Linked DNA regions of Astyanax mexicanus. The protein of the gene in region 2 purifies or fractionates together with the protein of the main gene of each other region. This does not show direct contact. Links are inferred from orthologs where the notes say so. Each region holds a gene or a part of one and is shown on either strand. Other genes may lie near its edges.

Region 1 (11,418 bases), on a different chromosome or scaffold from region 2:
AAGTAATAAAAAATCAATTATGATAATGGTGATAAAAGACAATGACAAAACTAAAGAGTATCTAAAAAAAAATAACCCAATAAAATCAATAAACCCGCTCAAACTCAGCATGATATAGGGCAACAAATAAGGTTTTTTATACCTCAGTTAGTTTAATAGACACAGTTACAGAAACAGCCTATTCAAATATTTTGGTTGGAAAATGGATGCATAATCATGAATAATTATGATTATAATTATGTTTTTGGTTCATTAGCCCATAGAAATGTCATAATTGGACCTTATTTAAGAAAAATATATATTTTTAAAAAGTGGAATATGGTCTGTGGACATTTGTCTTTTAAGCAGAATTCATTAAAATTAGCTGACATAAGAGATCCACTGGTTCCTAAAAAAGAAAATGTACGCACTTGTTTTTTTCACACCTCATTTGTTAACACCCCCACATGTGTGTAGCTGTGAATTGTTAGAAAAAATGTCAGACACATTCTCAGGATGAAGTGCTGATTTCGAAGCAGTGGCTGTGTGAATTCAGATTATTCTTGTATCTCTTGGAATGTAAGGTTGTTCTGATGATGTCACCCTGTTCCTGCAGATTGTTCAGACATACACTCAAACTGAAAACCTCACATTCTCCTCTTCCCAAAGAGCTTTAATTTAATGGAGAACTGCTCCGGATGAGTTCTGGAGTAAAGTGGAGTGACTGTCACGCTGGTGGAAGCAGCCGGAGATGATGTGTGCTTTATGTCATGGTCTGTAATCCTGCTGGACATGTCCATTTACAGAGGGTCATAAAGGGACACATGTCAGCTATGGCATCAGCGCTTAAACACAGTATGTCATCTCTGAATGATGCAGAGTTGTTGTTGATTAGCCTAAGGCATGTCAGGGAAACCTTCCCTAGGCCATGTACTATACTGAAGAATGTATCTTTAAGCATGGACCCCCACTGACCCAGTTGTCATGGATACCCCTTTGATTTGCGTTCCATTGAGCGCATCATTTTGCATACAAATTTTATAGCATTTTCCACTGCTTTGGTTGTCAAGTTTATCTGTTAGATTTGCTTTTATTTGAAGGCATTATTGGACTGCATGATACTGGATGAAAAAAAACGACATTGCAATATTTTTTGGTTATATATATTTTATATTTTGCTATATATATTGCAATTTTGGAATGGATTTGAGAGTGATGCTTCCTCAGACCTTTGCCTTTTTTGCCTTAGCACCTTAGCTAAGTCTTAATACTGAAAGAGCAGTGTTCTTATTTATTTAATTATATATTGTATATCAATATTAAAAAATACAGGATGTTTGACTACATTTTACCAGAAGTCAATAATCCAGCATGTGATAATATTTGAAGACTAGAGTCAAATAAATTATACTAGGCATATAAAATGAGACTGCCTTGTAGATATATCCTGGTAAATGAGAATAATCTGAATTGTATTGTGACTGTATTATGCAACTTTTTCCCCAAAAATGTACAAAAATTCAGAAACAATATCTTCTTGTTGTGCAGCCCTAATGCATAATTTTCCATCTGACTTTAAAAAAGGGCTGGTAAAATATATATGATATTTAAAAACATTTTTAAAATACACAATATGTATTATCACATTTTGAAACAGAATGCATTAGTAGCAGGAGATAGTTAAAAGCACTAATCAAATCCTACACTTATGTAATCCTACACTTATGTAATTTTTTATTAATAATGTACAGTAAAGTACATAAGTACGTAATTACATTTAACCCATGACAAAATATATCATGATATGATTAAATATATATATATATATATATAAAATATATATAAAAACCCTTCTTTTAAAGTGTTTTTTTTTCCAGAACCACATCATAGTGTACCTTCAAATGAAACATAGTATTAGTGAGGGTCTTTAAGCTAGCTGAGATTTTCTCCATTACAGATGGGGCTTGCCCTCATCCCCCACTTCCTCGGTTGTCACGGTTACCTCTTTGACTGCTTTGATTTGAAGGAACTGATTATCATTTTATGGCGCTTGATTTTCTTACTTCTTAGGGGTGACTGTACCCTTTGCTGCTGTAAGAGAGAATACACTTTAAAAAAGCATGGTCCTAAATGTTTTTGGTATTTGCCTCATCTTTTGAGGTATCCCTTTAAACTGCCAAAAAAATGGTCCCAGTTTAATCTCCATCTATTCTCAATTTCTTTGTAGTGAAAAATGTGCAAATATTCAGTAGACAGATAAGGTTTATGAATACAATCCAGCTGTTTAAAGGTCAGACACATTAGGCAAATAAGTATCATCATGTTTGTTAAATGGGAGCATCCTGTTTTTGTCAGTGATGATCAGTGTTTAGTTTCAGTCTTCAATCTGCATTTCTCTTATTGATGCAACAGAATGGGTAGCATAATAATAAATATCCCTCTGCCTCCCCCTTATTCTGGAGTGCTTGCCCCACACCATTACCCCATCAACAGTCTGTGCTGTGGACACAAGGCAGGAGGGATCCAAGGATTCATGCTGTGTCTGCCAAGATCTGACCTGCCATCTGCCTGTGGCAGCAGAAATCAACACACATCAGACTGAGCAGCAATTCTCCAATTTTCCGTCATCTAGTTTTTCATGATTAACTGCATCCTGTAGTCTTTCTGATCTCAGCATGAATGAGACCACCATGGTCTTCCATTGCTGAAGACCATCTGCTTCATGATTTAACACTGCATGGAGATGTGCCCTTCAGTTCACCACTTTTGTGTAATGCCTACTTGGGTATTCATGGCCTTTGGTAAATTTTTCCTCTAACCTGTCTCATTAACCGAATGCTTCTGCTTGCAGATCTGCCACTCACTGGATGTTTTTTTTGTTTATCACATCACTGTGGGTGAACTCCAGACTGTCCCTAGAGAGAGCTGTTTCTGGAGCCAAATCTTGCCATGCTTGTCCATTCTTATGTTTGGTACAGCAGCATTTAAGCAATCTCAGCCCAATATCTCCTTTGCTAAAAAACACTAAAGGCTCTCCCTTTTGAATGGGAATCTCTAACCACATGATCTCTAATGGCCCTGTGAATGTGGTTTATGATACTGAGTGACTCACAGCTATCTATCTATAAACATGGATTCAAGCCCAAAATCTTGTTGATACAAACTTCAGACATCAGACACATCTTGGGTGATCCAATATATAAATGTATGATTTATGTAAGAGAAAATTTGTGCAAATTAGTTGTAAGCTATTGCTGTATGGAGAAAGAGTATATATATATATATATATATATATATATATATATATATATATATATATATATATATATATATACGTATATATATATATATATATATATATATATATATATATATATATATATATATATATATATATATATATATATAATGCTAAGCTCCTTTACTCACTAAGCTGATAGGAACATTATAACTGTATAGTTACTGGACAGAATGGATTCCACAAGATGTTGGAAACATTCTTCTAAGATTCCTCATTCCTCTAAGAGTCAAGGTTGATGTGAGTGTGTCATTCAGTTCCTGGAGAGTATCCCATCCTTTCACATACAAACTGTTCATTGTCATGTTCATAAACCAAGTTTGAAAGCTTTGTGACATGATCTTATTATCATCCTGGAATTGGCTAAAAGGAGATGGGTAAGTTGTGGTCATGTAGGGATGCACCTGGTCAGCAACAAGAAGTTGTTCTGTTCTGCTGAGCCAATGTCCACTGCAGCCTCAGCTTTCTGTTCTTGGCTTACAGATGAGAGCAATTTAGTGTGCTCTTCTGCTGTTGTAGACCACCCACCTAGTAGTTATATGAATTATGGTAGCTTTTCTTTCAACTAAAATCAGGCTGGTCTTTCTCTTTTGGCTACTTTCTGTCTTATCAAAAATGTCTTTCTGTATGCAGGACTGCTGCTCACTGGATTTTCTGGATGTTTATTCTTTATTTCACCACTCTGAGTGAATTCTTCATATCAGCAGTTCCAGAAATACTTAAACCAACCTCCCAGGCAACAATCAGGGCACTCTCAAAATGAGTGAGATCAATGAAATTGGATTTTTTTTCCCTCATTCTGATGGTTGATGTGAACATTACTTAAAGCTGCTGGTCAATAACTAGATGAATTCGACCTGCTGAAACTATAGATTGGCTGGTGTCCTAATAAAATGCTCAGTGAGTGTGCATGAAGTATACATTCCCTAACTGTGATTGAATGGATTTATAATGCATTTGATAACTAATAAGTGTAAAAACAAATAATAATTCTCCTGCACATCCTTTTGTACAGTCTAGTTCTCATCATGCATGCAGGCTTTCCACTAGAACTGGAACAGACTGATAGCAGTGCTTTAAACGTGGCAGGGCTGCTTCTCTTTGTTTATAGAGGGGGTGATGTGCTGAGATCAGTCACCTGTCCTCCTGTGCTTTGTTCAGTCATAATTAATCAGACGTGATTATGAGATGAGATGATCCACGCCAGCTTTTTTTTTCAATACGCCAGCTTTTTTTCCCTGGCACGTAGTGATGAAACAGAAGGGTATGCACATAAATAATAATCATGAATGGCATGATTTAAAAAAAAAGTAATGCAAACACAAACGCATGCGACAAAATATATGGGAAAAAGCACAGCACTGCTATCAGGGAAGGCAATGCATTATACATGTATATACCAGTACAGTAAGACTTTCTCTGTCTCTCTTTGTGTGTGTCTTACCTCCTCGCGGGGACTCTCCGGTTCGTCTCCCGAAGCTGGAGCTGCGGCTGGGCTGCTAGCGGTGGTCGTAGCTGTAGCCGTAGCCGTGGTCGTGGCCGGGGCGGCCGATGCTGGTGACATGTCTGTGCGGGCAGGGGGCCATGCATCATCCACAGAGCTCGCACGAGGGGACGGTCAGCGCAGCAGCAGCAGCACCAGTAGCCCACCGCTTACTGACACACAGAAAAACAGCTCAGAAAACGCTGCCATGTGCTTTCAGAGCAGAACAGCTGCACGCGCTGCATGTGTGAACGCCATCCTACAGCAGCACCTCATCCTCCTTCAGGACTGAACTGAACTGATCAAAAGAAGGAGCATCGCAGCCTGGGGCCCTCCTGCACCTTCTGCAGCTCCTGCAGCTCCTGCACCACAGCGCTCAGCTCCAGCGAGCAGGAGGTGTAGCCTGGTGTGAGAGCGGCAGCGCGCCGATTAATAACGATCAGTGAAAAAACACACAGCGCGGAGCTGCACGTGCGCGCGCGCCCGCTCCGCCACGACGCTGAATGGGAATGATGAGAGGAGGGGGAGGAGCTCGAGCGGAGCACAGACATAAAGGTGTGCTCAAAAGGCGACTCCAGCAGCATCTTAAAAGTGTCAGTCCACTAGTTTTTAATTAACGTTAGAATGTGTAACAACACCCATCATGCTAAAACTTCCTTGCAATACATGCATTGTGACACAGTCTTCTTTTTTACTCTTTTAAATCGTTAGCTGTCTTCAGTTTTAATTCTGCGTTTCTTTTGTTTAATGCAATGCGTTGTGGTTGGTGTGGCGCAGTGGATAACACCAGCCCCAGTCAGTGAGCTACCACATCATGTGGTAGACTAGGATTCAATTCAATCTAGGTGACTATGTTGTGCTACACCAATAAGAGTCCTTGGTGCAGACTCCTAACATTGACCAGCCTTTGTAATAGAAATAACCTTGTCACTCTGGATAAGAGTGTCAGCTAAATGCCTCACATGTAAATGAAAAAGCAGGTGTAGACTGAGTTTGCTGTTCTGATATCTCCATGTTCACTGTAGCTATTGTATCAGCACCATTAGCAGTACCATGGTTGCTCAGGTAAACAGCAAAAGCTGTTAGGCCTATTCACCTTATTCGTCCACCTTATGCACTCTGCACTTATGCACACCTTATGCATACTGATCATAAAATATCAGTATTTAACCATATTTACAGCTATTTACTGCACAGCTAACCAGCTTTCACACACAACACACGCAAAGAGGGGAGTGCTTATATTCACTGCCTTCCAGAGAAGAGGTGCTGTGCCATCAACTGTAGACCCAGATCCTCTTCTGTGGAAGGAGGTGGTCATTTTTCTGTGGTGTATTCAAAACTGTGCTGTTAAAGTTAATTCCTCCTCTTCTTTCAGTTACTGTGACACCCTATAACTAACTGCACCAGACATTCCAAAACAAAGTAACCAAACCTGGCCCTCCCTGTCATCATGCAGAATAAGTGGCTAGCCAGAAAAAAAGTACTTAGTACTTGTATTTAGAATATATTTTTTGTCTTTTATATAATATATATTACTATATAATTTGCCCTCTGCCCACTCAGGAAGACAACCAAAAAATATTTTTTGTCCTAAAAACGCCATGCAAAAAGACATTAACTTATTAATCTGAAAGATGTCTAAAGACATTTTAAAATAATTCTAGGATATATTAAGAGGACGTTCTAAGGGCTTTCTATCATCAATCTAAGAGTGTTCTAAAGTGCAGTAAAGTATAGTGTTAAGTAGTTTTAAAGAGATTTTAATAAAATAATGTAAGAATTTTTTTTTTCTAAAAGCTTTTCAATGACATTCTAATATAATTCTAAAAGTGTTCTAAAGACAAAAGCATTCGTATGAAATGTTTCATATAACATTTTAGAGTTATGGTGTATGTAAAACTGTAATAAAGCTTCAGTAGTGAATTGAAATATTTTGGCCACATATATTTTGCAGCTTCTTAGGAGCTCCCCCTGCTGGAAACACAGAGACCTGCTCCCAGACTGTTGAGTGTGCCACAGCAACGCAGAAGTGTGATTTTCCTCATCTTACCATTTTGCAAACTTTAGCTTTAAGGCTGCCTCAGTGAGATTGGGGTGGTCACCCACTATGCTTCACCACATCCTCTGAAGGACACTCATGACCCTGGCATGGCTCAAACACCAAACCTTGTGATTAGGAGTCACTTGCATGCACTATAGGCTACTATTGCGCCATACATTAATATATTTGTTCATATAGCTTAAGTAGTTCACTGTTTAGCCTCATGTTTAGCCTCATTTAGACTACACTGCAAAATAAAGCTACGTTTATATAGTTTTGATACATGCATTTATACATTTCCCTCCTTTTTTTAGCATTTTTTTTGCAACTCTTGTCTATCCTGATGAGACTAGAGTGCAAAATGGAGCTAACTTTGTCCCAGAAGTTACAGCCGTGGTGTGTGTGTGTGTTATTAGAACTGGGGAATTCCCAACTGCACACAAACATTCGTCTCAGGCCACGCCTATTCGCTTGCCCACACACCGCACACTTTAGTAACAACATGTCTATTTATGAACATTAGCTCCGCCTGTCGTCTGTCTGGCCACGCCCATTGGCGAATAACCCTGCCCCCGGCCCCGGTTCTCTCTCTCTCTCTGGTGAGACAGTTTTAGGAGGCACTAGTTCACAGTTTTAACGGCGGTTTAAACTGGTCTGTTGGAGGAGTCTCTCCGATCAGACGGGTGTTTTAAGGCAGTAAGTTAAGGTAGTTAAAGTGTTTAGGCGGAGGTGTTAGTGCCTCCAGGCGGTAGCGGGGGTTTAGTTTGTGTAAGTTAGGCCGTAGTTCTGCGTTGGAAGAGAATAGAGAAGCTGGAGGAGCTGCAGAAGGAGGAGGAGGGCATGAGACACGACGACGGGCTGCTCTGGTTTCACAATGGCGCGGCGGTGATGTTGTTCAGGTGAAGCGCGGATCCTCAGCTTGCGAGTCCGGACACAACCAGCGCTTATTTCGGGTACTATGGAGCCGAGCGGCCGGGCGAAGGGCAAGTTTGAGTCTGAGGAGAATCGGACTGACTCCGTAATCGACTCCGGTATCGACTCGTTCAGATCTTTACCCAGAGACGAGCCGCGGTTGAGCGGCGCGGCCGGGAGCTCCGCGCCCGGGGAGCAGGACAAGCTGAGCGGGGGGGACGAGCGGCTGGACTCGGCCTACGGGTCCTCCTCCATCGTGGACAATCTGAGCGAAATCATCCCCGATAAATGCAGCATTTCAGGAACGCCGAGCTCCCAGAACACAGAGGAAAACACAGAGGACGAGGATGAGGAGGAAGAAAACCTCCTAACTACTGTCACAGAAGACGGAGACACGTAGGTTTTAATCTTTAAATCTTTAGACCTTTTACTCCCCTACCTCCAGCAGTGATCATTATCATCATAATGATAGATAACAACACTGTCTGGAGGGATTCAGATCACCCTGTCACTGGGGCTGGGTTATTTGACAGCAGTTTAACATCACGATACTTAAGCTTTTAATAAGAAGATATCAATAATTTTATTAATTATATTCAGTATTCAATACACTGATTTCAATACAGACAAATTTAATATTCAAAATACATGTTCGTAAAACCATACGAGAGTTAATTTATTAATTGGATCACTTAAGAAGTAGGCCAATGTTTTTTTGTCACCTCTTTGTTTGGCTCTGTTTATCTTTATTTAGCTCTGAAAAAAATAAGAGGCCACTTAAGAGGAAGATGGATTGTCACAACCCATCAAACCAAGCTCAACAGCTTGAATTTTTTCACCAGGAGTGGCATAAAGTTAGCCAAAAGCAGTGTGTAAGGCTGGTGGAGAAGAACATGACAAGATGTATGAAAACTGATTAAAACCAGGGTTGTTCCACCAAATATTGATTTCTGAACTCCTAAAACTTGAATATGAGCTTGTTTTCTTTACATTATTTGAGGTCTGAAAGCTCTGCATCAGAACAAAAATGTTCATTTTACTCAAACATATACCTATAAATAGCACAATCAAAGAAACTGATTCAGAAACTGAAATGGCTCTTGTTTTTTCCAGAGCTATATATATATATATATATATATATATATTATTGTAAAGGGGTAGAGATGGTATATAGTGAATAGTCCTATTTAAATACTGAACTACAGAACTACACAATTAAGTAAGAAAAAATATATATAATTAAGGTCAGTCATTACAAAAAAATTCAAGAACTTTGAAAGATTCCTCACACTATGATGAAACTGGCTCTTTCTGTTACCTCTGTTGCACAGAACAAGTTCATTAGAGTTGCAGTAAGCACTACTTAAGGAAAAACACTTGTCCAAATAAGATTTAACTTTTAAGAATACTGAAAGAAGAGAACTACAGTAAAACAGTCCTGTAGCTAAACCAAGGCATAAGGCAGATATTAAGAAGCCAGAATCCAGCCTCAGTGGGAGATAAAGTGCCAAATTAAACACGTTTTCAATATAAAGCATCAGTGAAACAGTTATCCCCCACGTTATTGTATATTTAGAGGTTGCATGTACTGTGTTATCTCGTGTAGGCTCATCCTGACTTGGCACAAACCTCCCAACAACAGGGCGTTAGAAGTGCACATGGAAAGTAGTGCCTTCTTGTGTGGGTTTATTTTTGTTTAACTGTGTCTGTGGCTAAAATTAGCCCTTACACCAAAAGTGTTTCTTATGTTAACTGTTAAAAACCTGTGTGTGTGAGAGAGGGAACATATAAAATAGTCTTATTTATTTGTGTGTATAAAAGATACATTTCAGTTTCTGCAAAGATGGAGCTAGAGGGGGCTGATTTTTGTGAAGATGAATGGGTTTGGTTTAACATTACCGATTTCATCCGCATAGCTTTACAGTCTGGAGAAATATCTTTGATGATTCACTGTCATGTGTGTGATTAACTGGTTCACAGTGAATGTGTTTTCTGATAGAAAGCTGCAGGCAGTCACACAGGCCTAGAAACTGGATCTATTATCGCTGCTGCATCTGTGTGAGAAAGCAGAAGTACGCACAGTGGAATTCCCCAGCGCTGGGCTGGAAACGCGTTTTCATACCACCCTTTGTAAAAAAAAAAAAAAAAGAGATTTTGTTGAGGGCACACACACACATTTTACTTTTACAGAACACACACATGATAAACATTATTAATCAACATACAAAATACATAATTAGCTTCTCTGTAAATGTTTATTTCAGTGTGCTAAACCTTAAATTATTAATTTATATGATTATTATTATATATGATAAACACAACACAAACTCTACAGAATGCATTAGCTCTGATCACTCCACTTATCACTGTAGCCTTTAGTACGTTCACAGCATTTTTCTCTGTATTTAACATACCTTATCGGATGTTTAGTGTGACCTGTGTGAATGAGGTTGAGTATGAATGTGATAGTCTGTGTGTGTGTGTGTGTGTGGCCAGTATGACCTGTTTTTATTTCCGCTGTCTCTGTTTCTGGGCCAAGAGGAAACTTTTTCTACTTCACTCCCCCTGTAGTCATCATCAGCACTGAAACTCAGTTAAATCCCCCTGTCATTCCATATGGGTGAAACATTTGCTTACTTCAGGAGCTGAATTTCATTTTAGGACTTTAACAAAGTTCTTCTAGAAACTCCCATTTGTCACCTTTTTTCCCTGTGTACACGGTGTATATACATTGTGAAGTTGGTTGATTTGGCATATGTCCCCTGCAACTCTTAACCCAAAGCCATTTCCTTGTATGTTACTGTAACAGTGATGCAGGTCTTTACTCGTTAGGAATACAGATAAGTTTTCCCTGTTAGCATAAACACCAGGTTTAAACACGTTTGCATGCCTTGTACAGGGATAAATGATCCAGTGTAATATTTTGCTAATAGTAATGCATTACTATGTAGGCAAAATTACTTTTATTATTACTTGTATTATCACTTTTATTTATTATCACTTTCCCTGTATTAATAAATATGTTTATTGTTGTTGTCATGCAAAGGTTTTTTCTTTTTATGTAAATTGATTATTTTATTATTATTTTTGGTTGCCATGTGTTTTCGCTCCAGTACTGTTACTGCGTAAGTTGTGGTGACCCAGCTGTAAAGACCCAAATGGAGGAAACACTACTTTTAGACATGTCTAAGCATAGCTGTTTCTTGCTGTAAAGAGAGGCTGCATACACAGTCAGTTGGGTCATCAGGTACATTAAATTTTGTGATTTTACTGTTTTCAGTGGCTGTTTTTGTTTAAACGTCTGCAGATTGCTAAGTTATCTCCTCAGCTGAACAGATCTAAACATCCAAAATACCCATAATTTCAGCTGTTAGTGTAAGCCAAGCCAGTCTTCTAATTCCTTAGTTGGGTCCAAGCTAAATGTAGCCCAATGCATGTGATATGCTGACAGGTTGTTAGTAAAATAAAATATGTTACAGCAAACCATTCAAGTGCATTCCCTCTATTTATTGGTAAAAGCTGTCTGGGACAGGAGCAAAAAAGTAAATACAAGAAGAAGGTCCTGTGTTTTGAACTATTGCATATTTTAATGCAAAGCAGCATGCAACAACAGCAGAGATGCCATTTGTTAATAGTTGTAGTAATTATATGCCTGTTATCGCAGGTTTATTAATTATATGGGTGATATATCAGGTTAAACTC
Region 2 (10,723 bases):
TTAACTTAAAACTTTACAGTGCAGATTACCTTAATGACTTAATCTTAGGAGTAAATTAGGTAAATAAGCACTTAAATAAGTATATAGGTAAATAAGCACTAATAAGATTTTAGGATGCGGAATGCATTCAAATACATCTAATATTTAGGTGTAAATAAGTAAAAGAGAGGTTCTAGTTGCTAAATTGCAAAAATAAAATCCAGTATTAAAAATGTAAATTTCCAATATTGTCACCATCACCTTGTATCTAAATGTTTGTTGTCTTTCATTTTTACATGATTTGAATTGGGCAGCAGTTATTTAAATTGTGCCAAAACGTCATGATTAATGGACCAAAAGGCATGACAAAACCTGGAACAAACTCTTTTTACATTGACTTCCATAGAAATATTTTTGTGATAGTACACACTGCTACTACATACACCTGGGTGAAAATAGCTTGTGCCTTAATTTATTTAATCAGTGATGGTAAAATTAGGATTGCTAAACACAAAATCCATGAAAATAGGTGGCATTTTATGAGCTGGTCCAAGTTATATACAATCGACTGACATCTGCCTTTGGCCACATACTTTTTTCTACAGTTTTTACATTTCCATTTTGATTCAAGGCCAAATCTTACATCAGCATATTTTCAATATTACTGTGAATCAAACGGATACTACATTCCGTTCAAACGTCAAAATGTTTTAGTTCCAAGTGGAAAATGTGAACTGTAAGGCTCCCACAGCTTGAAATTCCCACTTAGAAAGTCAGCCAGAAAGAGAGCCTCGCCAATAATCAATATTCAAATTTAATATGGCCAGCAGTAGTAGTAAAGCAGCATTAATATTCTGTTTAATAGCACTTCTATTTATTTGTCTCCCTTTAAATTTATCATTCACACTTTACTGTCCAACTTTTATCTGTGGATATGTGTGTAGTAGTTTGAACAAGCAAAATACTGCATAATGTTTTGTTAGCACATTGGAATCGCTAACAATGCTAACACAGGACAATGCTAAACGAAATAGTGTAAAATTATCGATTTGACTAACTAGAATGGCATAAACTCAAAAAGCAGCTCTGGCCTGATACTGACCTGTGGGGAGTCTGTGCATCTAGAGACGAGCACTGGCCCATTACTTATTTCTGTAGGAGTAAGAGAAGGAGGAGGAGGAGGTCCAGGGAGTTTAAATCCGCTCTCAACAATGAACTCGTTTATTTCATCTGATAAGAGATGACAGCAAAAACAACAAGAATGATAACAACAACCAAATTAGTTTTAGGTAATGATGCAGCATGGCCCTTACACAGGGATAAATGCATCTTGCATTATGAAAAAAAGTCACATATGACATATAGGGTTGCACATTGATTTCAAAATTATATTGGAATTGGATGATAATTGCATTTTTTTAAATCATTGAATAATTTAAGGCCAATATTTAAAACCAATACTTGCTGATGTGTTTATTGTATGCAAGCAATTCTGGATGCTATACTACAACTGCCCAACACTGACCATGCTATTTTAAGATGTACTTATTTATTTGTTTATTTTTCTACTAGTTTTAAATGATAAAATTAAACTCTTTGTATTGTTATGAATGTGTATATTGGTATCACCACTTATGTACATGTGTTATATTGGATATCATTATTGGTCCAAAATTTCCACACTGATACATCCCTAATGGTATATTTTCATATGGCTACATGTTTCCATTTTTATGTGTATTATTTTATTTTACATTTAAATATCCATTATTAAAATATTTATTAAAAATGTGATTAATCATGATTAATCATGTTAAATTGTGCAATTAAATTGTTATTTTCTTATTATTAAAACTGTACGTATTAACGATACACCTAAGTGAACTTGTAAATGTTCTAATCCATATTATGATGTGAAAGACTCAACTAAGTAATGCAAAAATTACAGGTACTTTAAGAAATGAAGGTCAGTCAATTTGAAAAATGTCAAGAAAGAAAGAAAGTACTCTCAAGTGCAGTCACAATGATAAGTTCATCATCGGAAACCGCAGATTAACAGCACCCCGGATAAAAGACCACCTAGTATTTTTGTTCAACACTTTTAAGTTACTACATGATTTCGTATGTGTTCCTTCATAGTCTGGAATTTAATACACTTTAGTATTCAATTAAAATGTAAGGAAAAATCACTTTATAAAATGAATGTGTTAGTGTGATTTCTAGTTTAATTCATTTTATGGTATTAAAGAGAAAATAAATGTTAAAATACATGTCATGGTAATTGTATATATTTTGTGTTGAGTGTTTATGATGAAGTAAGTTTTGTGGGCTTGATGTGTGGGTTATGTTAGTAGATATGGTGGGGGTTAAAAGCAATGTGGGCGGAGTTCCTGAATGTTGTATAGTGTGTCGAGATGGTATTTTTTTATATAATTATTTATTTTAATTTGCTCTTTTATGTTTATTGTGGGAAGTCTGAATTAATGTGAGCTTCTGAGAGTGTATGCCACTATGCACTTTACCGATTTAATATAATGCGCTTTATTGTTTTAAATGTATTAATTTGTTTACTCATGTGAACTGATCTGCCTCTATTACACAAATGTTTTTTTTTTACAAATAAGAATTTGCTCTTATTTAACTAGCCTAGGCCTTACATTCTTGTTATTTTTATTATTATTATTATTATTAGGTTCAAGATTCAATAAATTGTATTTTTTACACATCACAAAGTACAGGTGTACATGTGAGTGAAAGACTTGGGTGCAGGTTCCCACTAGTATGTAGAGAACAATGTTTACAACAAAGTACAATAATAAGTTAAAATAGAAATATATAGTTAACTTTACAGTATACATAATATACACAATACACACAATAACTTACAGACTATAGACATACAGACATATGGTACTGCACGGAAATATGTTAAATATGACTAAAAAATATGACTGAAAAATGCAGATATCTATAGTGCGTGTGTGGAAGTGAGGAAATGGTCCAATAGATGAACTAGATGAATAGAGTAAAGTGCAGGTACAGAAAGAGTTGTGTGAGAAGTTGTTATTATTATTATTATTATTATTATTATTCAATTTCGTTTATTAATACATTCAAAATAATAGAGGCTGGTATACTGTATAATATTAAATGTAAAATGATATGATAAAAATGGTCCACTTACCAAGGTCGAGAGCTGTGGAGGAGAAAAACAGCACCAGTTAAATCCACAGACTAACAGACAAGGAAAGTGAAACTGAAAGTCTTAACAGCCCTGCGGGCTAACAGACAACAACACCATTCTATTCCTACACAATAAACCGCACCAGTCCCAGATGAGGTAGAATAAAGCATATACAGCATGTGAATTGATTGAATTGAGCTGATTTGCCTCTTCTAGATCACGCAATGCTGTGTAACGTCAATAGTAGGAACTAGTATAGAGAAAAGACGGAGCACCATGACTAGGCATAGTTAGCTCGGTTACCTATTCTAGCTAATAATAAGCACATTATAATAATAATAACAATAAAAATAAACATTATACACCTAATTAGAGACTAATTTATATCTGATTATTTAAGGGTTTGTTTTTTAAAGCCAGATTTTTCACTTTTAAAACTAATAGTAGTGAATCCGGGACCAGAAAAGTAAAATCCGCCCCAGAATCCAGGTCCAGAGATTAGCTAGAAATCCATTCCAGGATTTTGTCTTAACTGCCAAAGAAAGCTGCGCTGCAGCGCCCAGGAGCCACGCTTTCTTAGGCGGTTGGAACAAAATCCTGGAATGGATTTATAGCTAATCTTTGGACTTGGATTTCACGCCTATGTCAAAACGACATAAATACTAACATTCATCGTTTATTATTATTATTATTATTATTATTATTATTATTAATTTACGCTTTTTAATACCAATAAACACACTGTAGACAGCCGGATAGTGCTGTAAATGAATTGATATATTTATGAAAATGCTTAAATTCACAAATAGATACATTTATAAATACATATTTTTTCTACATAAAATCTACCAAAAACGTACAACTATATTATTATGGTTTGTATAATTTAGGAAAAAAATATGACATAAAACCTCCATGGCTAACTTTACTTCTTACAAAACGTGTCTTTCCCAACCTACATGCGCACAGCTAGCCTTAGCGCGCGCACAGAGTAAACAAGCGTTTACAGACCTTTTACAGACTTTTATCGACACGTTTATAGATGTTTTAGCTCGCTGTCACTTACCGCCAGTGCCTAGGGTACCGTTGCGAGCTGGTCCGTTCATATTTCTCATGGCAGGTGAAGGACTAGGCTGGTAAAACAGGGTTAGTCTGGTACTGGGCTGAGGTCCGGTTAGCTGGGTTATGTACTCATTGGAGCTGTACTAAAGGTCGGTGACTGCGGCTCTGAGTCTCTGCAGCGCTGCTGTACTTCTGCTTCTGCCCGTGTATCAAAATAACTCACGTTTTCTACCAAATTCGTTTCACTTTGTGCCTCTTCTAGCCCGAGCTGACCGGGTGGAAATCCCCCTACGTCACTGCTGGGAAACCCCCCCGCGAGTCGGCGCAGTAAGAGCGCGCGGTAACAGGTGAGCTGCAGCACGAAGGGCCCGAGGATCAAAACAAGAAAACGAGAGATGGAAACATGCCCCTAAATGGCTGCGCTGAAACATGGTAGACAAATAAGAGTTTCGTGAGGAAAGCACCTTCTAATGAACTGTTTGTGGGGTCACACTTTTTAAAGATTAAATGATATTATCAGGGACTGTAAGGGATATATATATATATGGGCGGGCCCTTAACACAGCTCTGGATAAAATTAAGAGAGCACTTCAGTTTCTGAATCAGTTTGTCTGATTTTGCTATTTATAGGTTTATGTTTGAGTAAAATTAACTTTGTTGTTTTATTTTATAAACCACTTTAGAGCGTTTATTTGCAGAAAATGAGAAATATTCAATATTTCAATATTTAGTCGAATAACCCTGCTTTTTAATCACAGTTTTCATGCATCTTGGCACGTCCTCCACCAGTCTTACACACTGCTTTTGGGTAAATTTAGCCATTCCTGGTGCAAAAATTCAAGCAGTTCAGATTGGTTTGATGGCTTGTGATCATCCATCTTCCTCTTGATTATATGTTTTAGAGGTTTTTCAATTTGATAAAATCAAAGAAACTAAAATATTTTTAGGTATAGATTTAAGGGTTTGTATTGAATTAAACGTAAATTAAAGCCAGATTTTTCATTTCTAAAAACTAATAGGTATGAATCCAAAAAAGTCCAGAAAAGAATATGCTGTTAAGTAGCAATGGATTTTTTTTTTTACCTTAACGCCTTTGTATGCAGTACAAAGGATCTTGTCTGGAAAACTAGACAATAGAGGCATTCAAAAACTTTTGTCCGGTTGCGTGTATGTATGTATGTATATATATATATATATATATATATATATATATATATATATATATATATATATATATATATACATACATACAACAATAAGTCTGTATGTATGTATATATATATATACATACATACAAACAATAAGTCTGCATATGTTCCTGTATAGATTTAATGTCTTTATATATATATATATATATATATATATATATATATATATATATATATATATATATATATATATATATAAAGACATTAAATCTATACAGGAACATATGCAGACTTATTGTTTAACAAATATACTAAACAAAATGTAATTAACAAAACATATGTTTTATACTTTAGATTCTTCTAAGTAGCACATTTATCTTTGAGGACAGATCTGCACACTCTTGGTATTTTAATATATTATATAATAATATATAAAGCTCAAAGTTATAGTGTGTGAATGCAGACAGCACTAAAACAGTCTGTGTGGGTTTTTGGTTGTGTTTTAATGATGTGTGATGGACAGAGTAGTAGGTCAAACAAACAGTTGATGTTTAAGGTGGGATGAGACTTTCAGTGTGCGATTCTGAATGATAATTTTGACGTTTATGACATCAAAATTATCGTCACAGCAGCGTGATAGTAAAAAAAAACATAATTATCTTAAATAACCATTAAATAATATATTAATTATAACAATATCATTTAATTACAATAAATAATAACTGAAAAACAGTAAAACAGAGCATAATATCTCTACGTGTTTTCTGCCCTCTGGTGGATAATCTTTGTAAACAATCTCAGGTTGTATTTCCTAAATGCTTGGCTGTATTACAAAATAAAAGTCATAGGCTTGTTGTTTAATAATAATAAAAAAATAATAATAATAGTTAATCAATTAATAGTTAATAGAAAATCAAATAAACTTTCTGTTTCTGGCAAGATGCTATAAAGGGCATGGAGCATGCCCTTACAGCAAGGAATTGGAATCAAGCAAACCAGGGGTGATTATAGGATCAAAGTTTCTCTTTTTTAAATTAAAAAAATACATGTTGATTAATATCTATGTGTTCAATTTGAGACGGGTGATATGGCACATTGTTTAGATTAAAAACAAAAATGGACTGGAAATAAATGGAAAGGAAAACACTTATTTCTTGTACACTGCACTACATTTAAAAAAAATAAATAATGGAGATTTTACATCCATTTTTTGTAAATTTACATTTAGCCTCCAATTGTCAGAAAATTAAATTAATAAACGTTACACTGACACTTGAAGGTTAGTTTAATAATAATAAACAAACAGAGTTTGACCCAGTTTGACCCTAGCGGTCACGTGACATCTACAAAAGCACGCACGTGACATATAGGAGGCAAATCCAAAATGTTAGAAGGCGCTGCTGCTCTCCCGCCATGCCTTCTCCCATCCCCGTTACCCGTTTGCTGCCACGAGGCTTCGGCCTCGACCTCGGAACCCTCAGCAGCCCGCTAAGCAGGCGCGCGGGTGCATCATCCTCCCTGCGTGTGCCCACCGCTACCCACGGAAAGCTCGCTCAGAGACTCTGGTCGTCGGCGGTGCAGTGGCGCGAGCTGCACGAGCTGGAGCCCATTGGCTGCGGGGGCTTCGGCATGGTGTTCAAAGGCACGTACTTTGGAGAGACGGTGGCGGTAAAGCGCGTGCGGCGGGCGAGGAACACGCTGGCCTCGCGCCAGAGCTTCTGGGCCGAGCTGAACGCGGCGCACCTGCGCCACGACAACCTGGTGCGCGTGATTGCGGCCACGACGATGATGCCGACGACTACAATTAAGACTGCGACGGCTTGTGCGCGCACTGGGGACAAGAACCAAGAGGAAGATGATCAGGGGCGCGTGGGCACCATCGTGATGGAGTTCGCGGGAGACGTCAGCCTGCAGCAGGTGATCTACGGGGCGGGGCCGCTGCCCCCCGAGCTGTGCGTGCGCTACGCATCCGACGTGGTGTGCGCGCTCCGTCACCTGCATGCGCACGGCGTGGCGCACCTGGACCTAAAACCCGCCAACGTTTTGGTGTCGCGCGCGGGCGTGTGCAAGCTCGCGGACTTCGGCTGCTCGCTGCAGCTCGGGCGAGACCACGCGGCGTGCGCCCTTGAGATCGGCGGCACGTACACGCACCGCGCGCCCGAGCTGCTCCGCGGCGAGCGTGTGACTGCGCGCGCCGACGTCTACTCGTTTGGGGTCACTCTGTGGCAGCTGCTCACGCGCGATGTGCCGTACCGTGGCGAGCGGCAGTGCGTCATCTACGCCGTGGTAGCGTACGGTCTGCGGCCGCAGCTGGACCGGGACGTGTTCCACCGGAGCTCCGCGGGGCGCGCGTGCGCAGAGCTGGTGAGCTGCTGCTGGAGCGCGGAGCCGAACCTGAGACCGAGCGCCGAGCAGCTGCACTCGGACCTGCAGCAGATCTCCCTTCTAGTGTTTTAGTCTTTCATTCTTCTGCTGTATTATCTCTCCTGCTTACTGTTAACTCTGTAAATACTGTGAAGAAATGTTTAAATATGGTTTGTAAATACATGTGCAGTTTTATATGTTTCCAAAGATTATAATTAAACTTTAATGTTATTTTTATTACTCTAAGATTGAGTCCTGCGTTGTTGTTATATGCGAAATTCATACATATAATCTAACAGTCAAAATGTGGATGCACCTTCTTATTCTATGTTAATTCTATGATTTTTATGCCCTACATTGTAAATATAATACTGAAGTAATCCTGAATATGAAGAAAAACAAGGAATCATGTACATTTAAGAAATCTATACCCTCCATGGCATGGTGTAGGTTGCCCTTAAGTAACAAACCACTTTTTGGTTATTTAAATGTTAAAAAATAAATAAATAAATAAATAAATAAATATATATATATATATATATATATATATATAAGGGTTCTTCAAAAGTTCTTTGGTGAAGGTAATAGTTCTTCATAGAACCATTAACACTCAAATAACCCTTTTTTGGTACTATATAGAACCCTTTTTTCTAAGTGTATACAGGATGTAAAAATGGTCTCAGACTGGAGCACCTGAGCTCAGGACATTTACAATGACCATTATTAACCAAAGGCACCCAGCAAAATATATAAATAATGAAAGAAAAAAAACAACAAAACTAAACCAAAAACAAGAAATGAAAACAAATTCCTACACAAATAAATCAACCAAAAGAAAACAATTCTTAATGTTTTATATTATAATTCAAATGACTGGAGAAATGTGTAGGAATGGTGTATAGATTTTGTGTATAGATTTATTCAGATTTAATTATTCCCTAAAATTGATAAATTACATAAGGCTATAATCGTACCTTTTGGTGTGATTTTGGATATTTTATTTCAACTCTTATATTTCATAAGATTATAACTCAAATGAGATGGAAAATGACTGGGTGTGGTGTGTTGTGGGTAACTTCATTCAGATTGGCACAAAAAACACTTGAATTTTCTAAAATTGTCAAATTATGTAAAGCTATAGTCTTACCTTTTGTTGTCATTATGCACATTTTTTGCAACTTTTATATTTCATGATATTAGAATGATATTGAAATGACTGGGAGTGTTGTATTGTCTCTCAATTTATTCAGATAGTCAATAAATAAACACTTTTAACTTATCCCTAAATCTTTCATCTTATAACTCAAATGGCTGGGAAAATGCCTGGTAGTGGTGTATTGTGTTTAATTAATTCATATATGCAATAAAAACACTTATCTTCACCCCCATATTGTCAAATTATGTAAGGGTATAGTCTTACTTTTTGGTGTGATGTTGGACTTTTATTCCAACTCTTAGAATCTTTTATCTTATAACTCAAATGAGTTAAAATGCCTTGGAGTGGTGTGTTGTGTGTAGTTTTATTAACATAGGCAATAAAAAAACACCACAAAATTGTCAAATTACGAAAGGCTATAGGCGTACCTGTAGGTTTTCTGCAACTCTTTTATTTAATGAGATTTTAACTCAAATTAGTTGGAAATGACTTAGAGTTGTGTATTGTGTGTAGTTTCATTTAGATAAATAAAAAATAAATCAAGCAATAAAAAACACCTTAATTTTTTTCCCAAAAGTGTAAAATTATGTACGGTTATAGTCTTACCTTTTGGTGTGATTTTGCACATTTATTCCAACTCAAGAAATCTTTTATATAATAAGTCAAATGAGTTGTAAAATGACTGTGAATGTTGTATTGTGTGTAATTTCATTCAATAAAAAGTAGCTTGTCAGATATGTGGCAGCAAGTCAACATACAGACACTGCTCAAGAGCCTACATTAATGTTCAGATCAAACATTGGAATAGCAAAAAAAAATTGTCAGAGGGATTTGAGTATTTTGGTATTTTTTAGTATTTTGAGTATTATTTTGGAGCTGCTTTTCTACAAGGACAGGAAGTTGATACGTCAATTTTTACAGAAGTATTTTAAACCCTAGTATCTATACTTCTACCTACAGTGTAATGAATGTGTAAACTTTTCTCATCTTTGGACTGTTCTATGCCAAATCAATCAACAAGCTCAACCTAAACATGTTTTGTTTTGCAAATAAATTAAATATGTTTTGTCATATATTAAGATAACAATAATTGTAACATTTTTTATCAGATTACTCAAGATTAGTGTGTAGGAATTCTGTAGGAAACAGTGCAGGGGGCTAGCTTGACTGAGCGTTTAGAAGTTAAGGCTGGCTTGACTGCAGTCTACAGTGTGTAAGGTACAGTTTCCAGAGAACTTTGTAATTATTCCAGCTTATACTATCTGAAACCATCTGCCAAAAACAGCTGGATCTTTCAGCAGGGAGTCTACAGGTGCACTGCTAACCTGTGCAGTGCACTGATCTGCAGCAACAGTTATTATAATTCTAGTGTACTTTATCTGGTATGAAGCTCTCACTATCAGCAGTGGAGTTTTGCATGAGCACTCTAGAATGACTGGTGAAATGTAAAAATGAAGATAAGGACTGGTACAGGAGAACTTTACATGTGTTTTATTCATCTAAATGTGTCATTATGTAATGTAACAGTTTTATATTATATGTAGTTGCTATGAGTTTCCACTATGACCTACTGATACATTTTTTGGGGCACTGAGGGAGCATTATTTACCCTCCTGAGTTTGGGTTAATGGGGTGAATAAGGGTCTCCACCAGTGAGCTGCTGGTGCCATTTCACTAATGAACCATGGCTCAGTTGGAAGTATTTTGCTCTCACCTGTTCTAAATAAAGTTTGCTTAATGACACTGGGTAAATATCAATATAATATAATAAGATTTACTCTGAATTAACACATTATTACACATAAGTATGTGAACCCTTTGGGATTGCTT

Evidence for each region. Proteins that work in one complex are often made in the same cells at the same time.
Region 1: the proteins of relb (region 2) and nfkbie purify together in Homo sapiens (affinity purification with mass spectrometry; 3 studies listed by BioGRID and IntAct, counting the BioPlex papers as one, with this or other methods). This does not show direct contact. The link is inferred for Astyanax mexicanus from reciprocal best matches to the Homo sapiens genes RELB and NFKBIE.

What each region holds. Positions count from the first base shown.
Region 1 is NC_064408.1:85,858,875-85,870,292, reverse strand, and holds the start of nfkbie (NF-kappa-B inhibitor epsilon), read left to right. Parts: upstream 1-7,373; 5' UTR 7,374-7,762; coding exon 7,763-8,112; intron 8,113-11,418. Other genes in the region: tmem151ba (transmembrane protein 151B), read right to left, coding at 4,722-4,841. UniProt on the Homo sapiens protein: Sequesters NF-kappa-B transcription factor complexes in the cytoplasm, thereby inhibiting their activity. Sequestered complexes include NFKB1-RELA (p50-p65) and NFKB1-REL (p50-c-Rel) complexes.
Region 2 is NC_064425.1:6,568,367-6,579,089, forward strand, and holds the start of relb (transcription factor RelB), read right to left. Parts: upstream 4,579-10,723; 5' UTR 4,279-4,578; coding exon 4,230-4,278; intron 3,176-4,229; coding exon 3,164-3,175; intron 1,210-3,163; coding exon 1,082-1,209; intron 1-1,081. Other genes in the region: proto-oncogene serine/threonine-protein kinase mos, read left to right, coding at 6,787-7,830.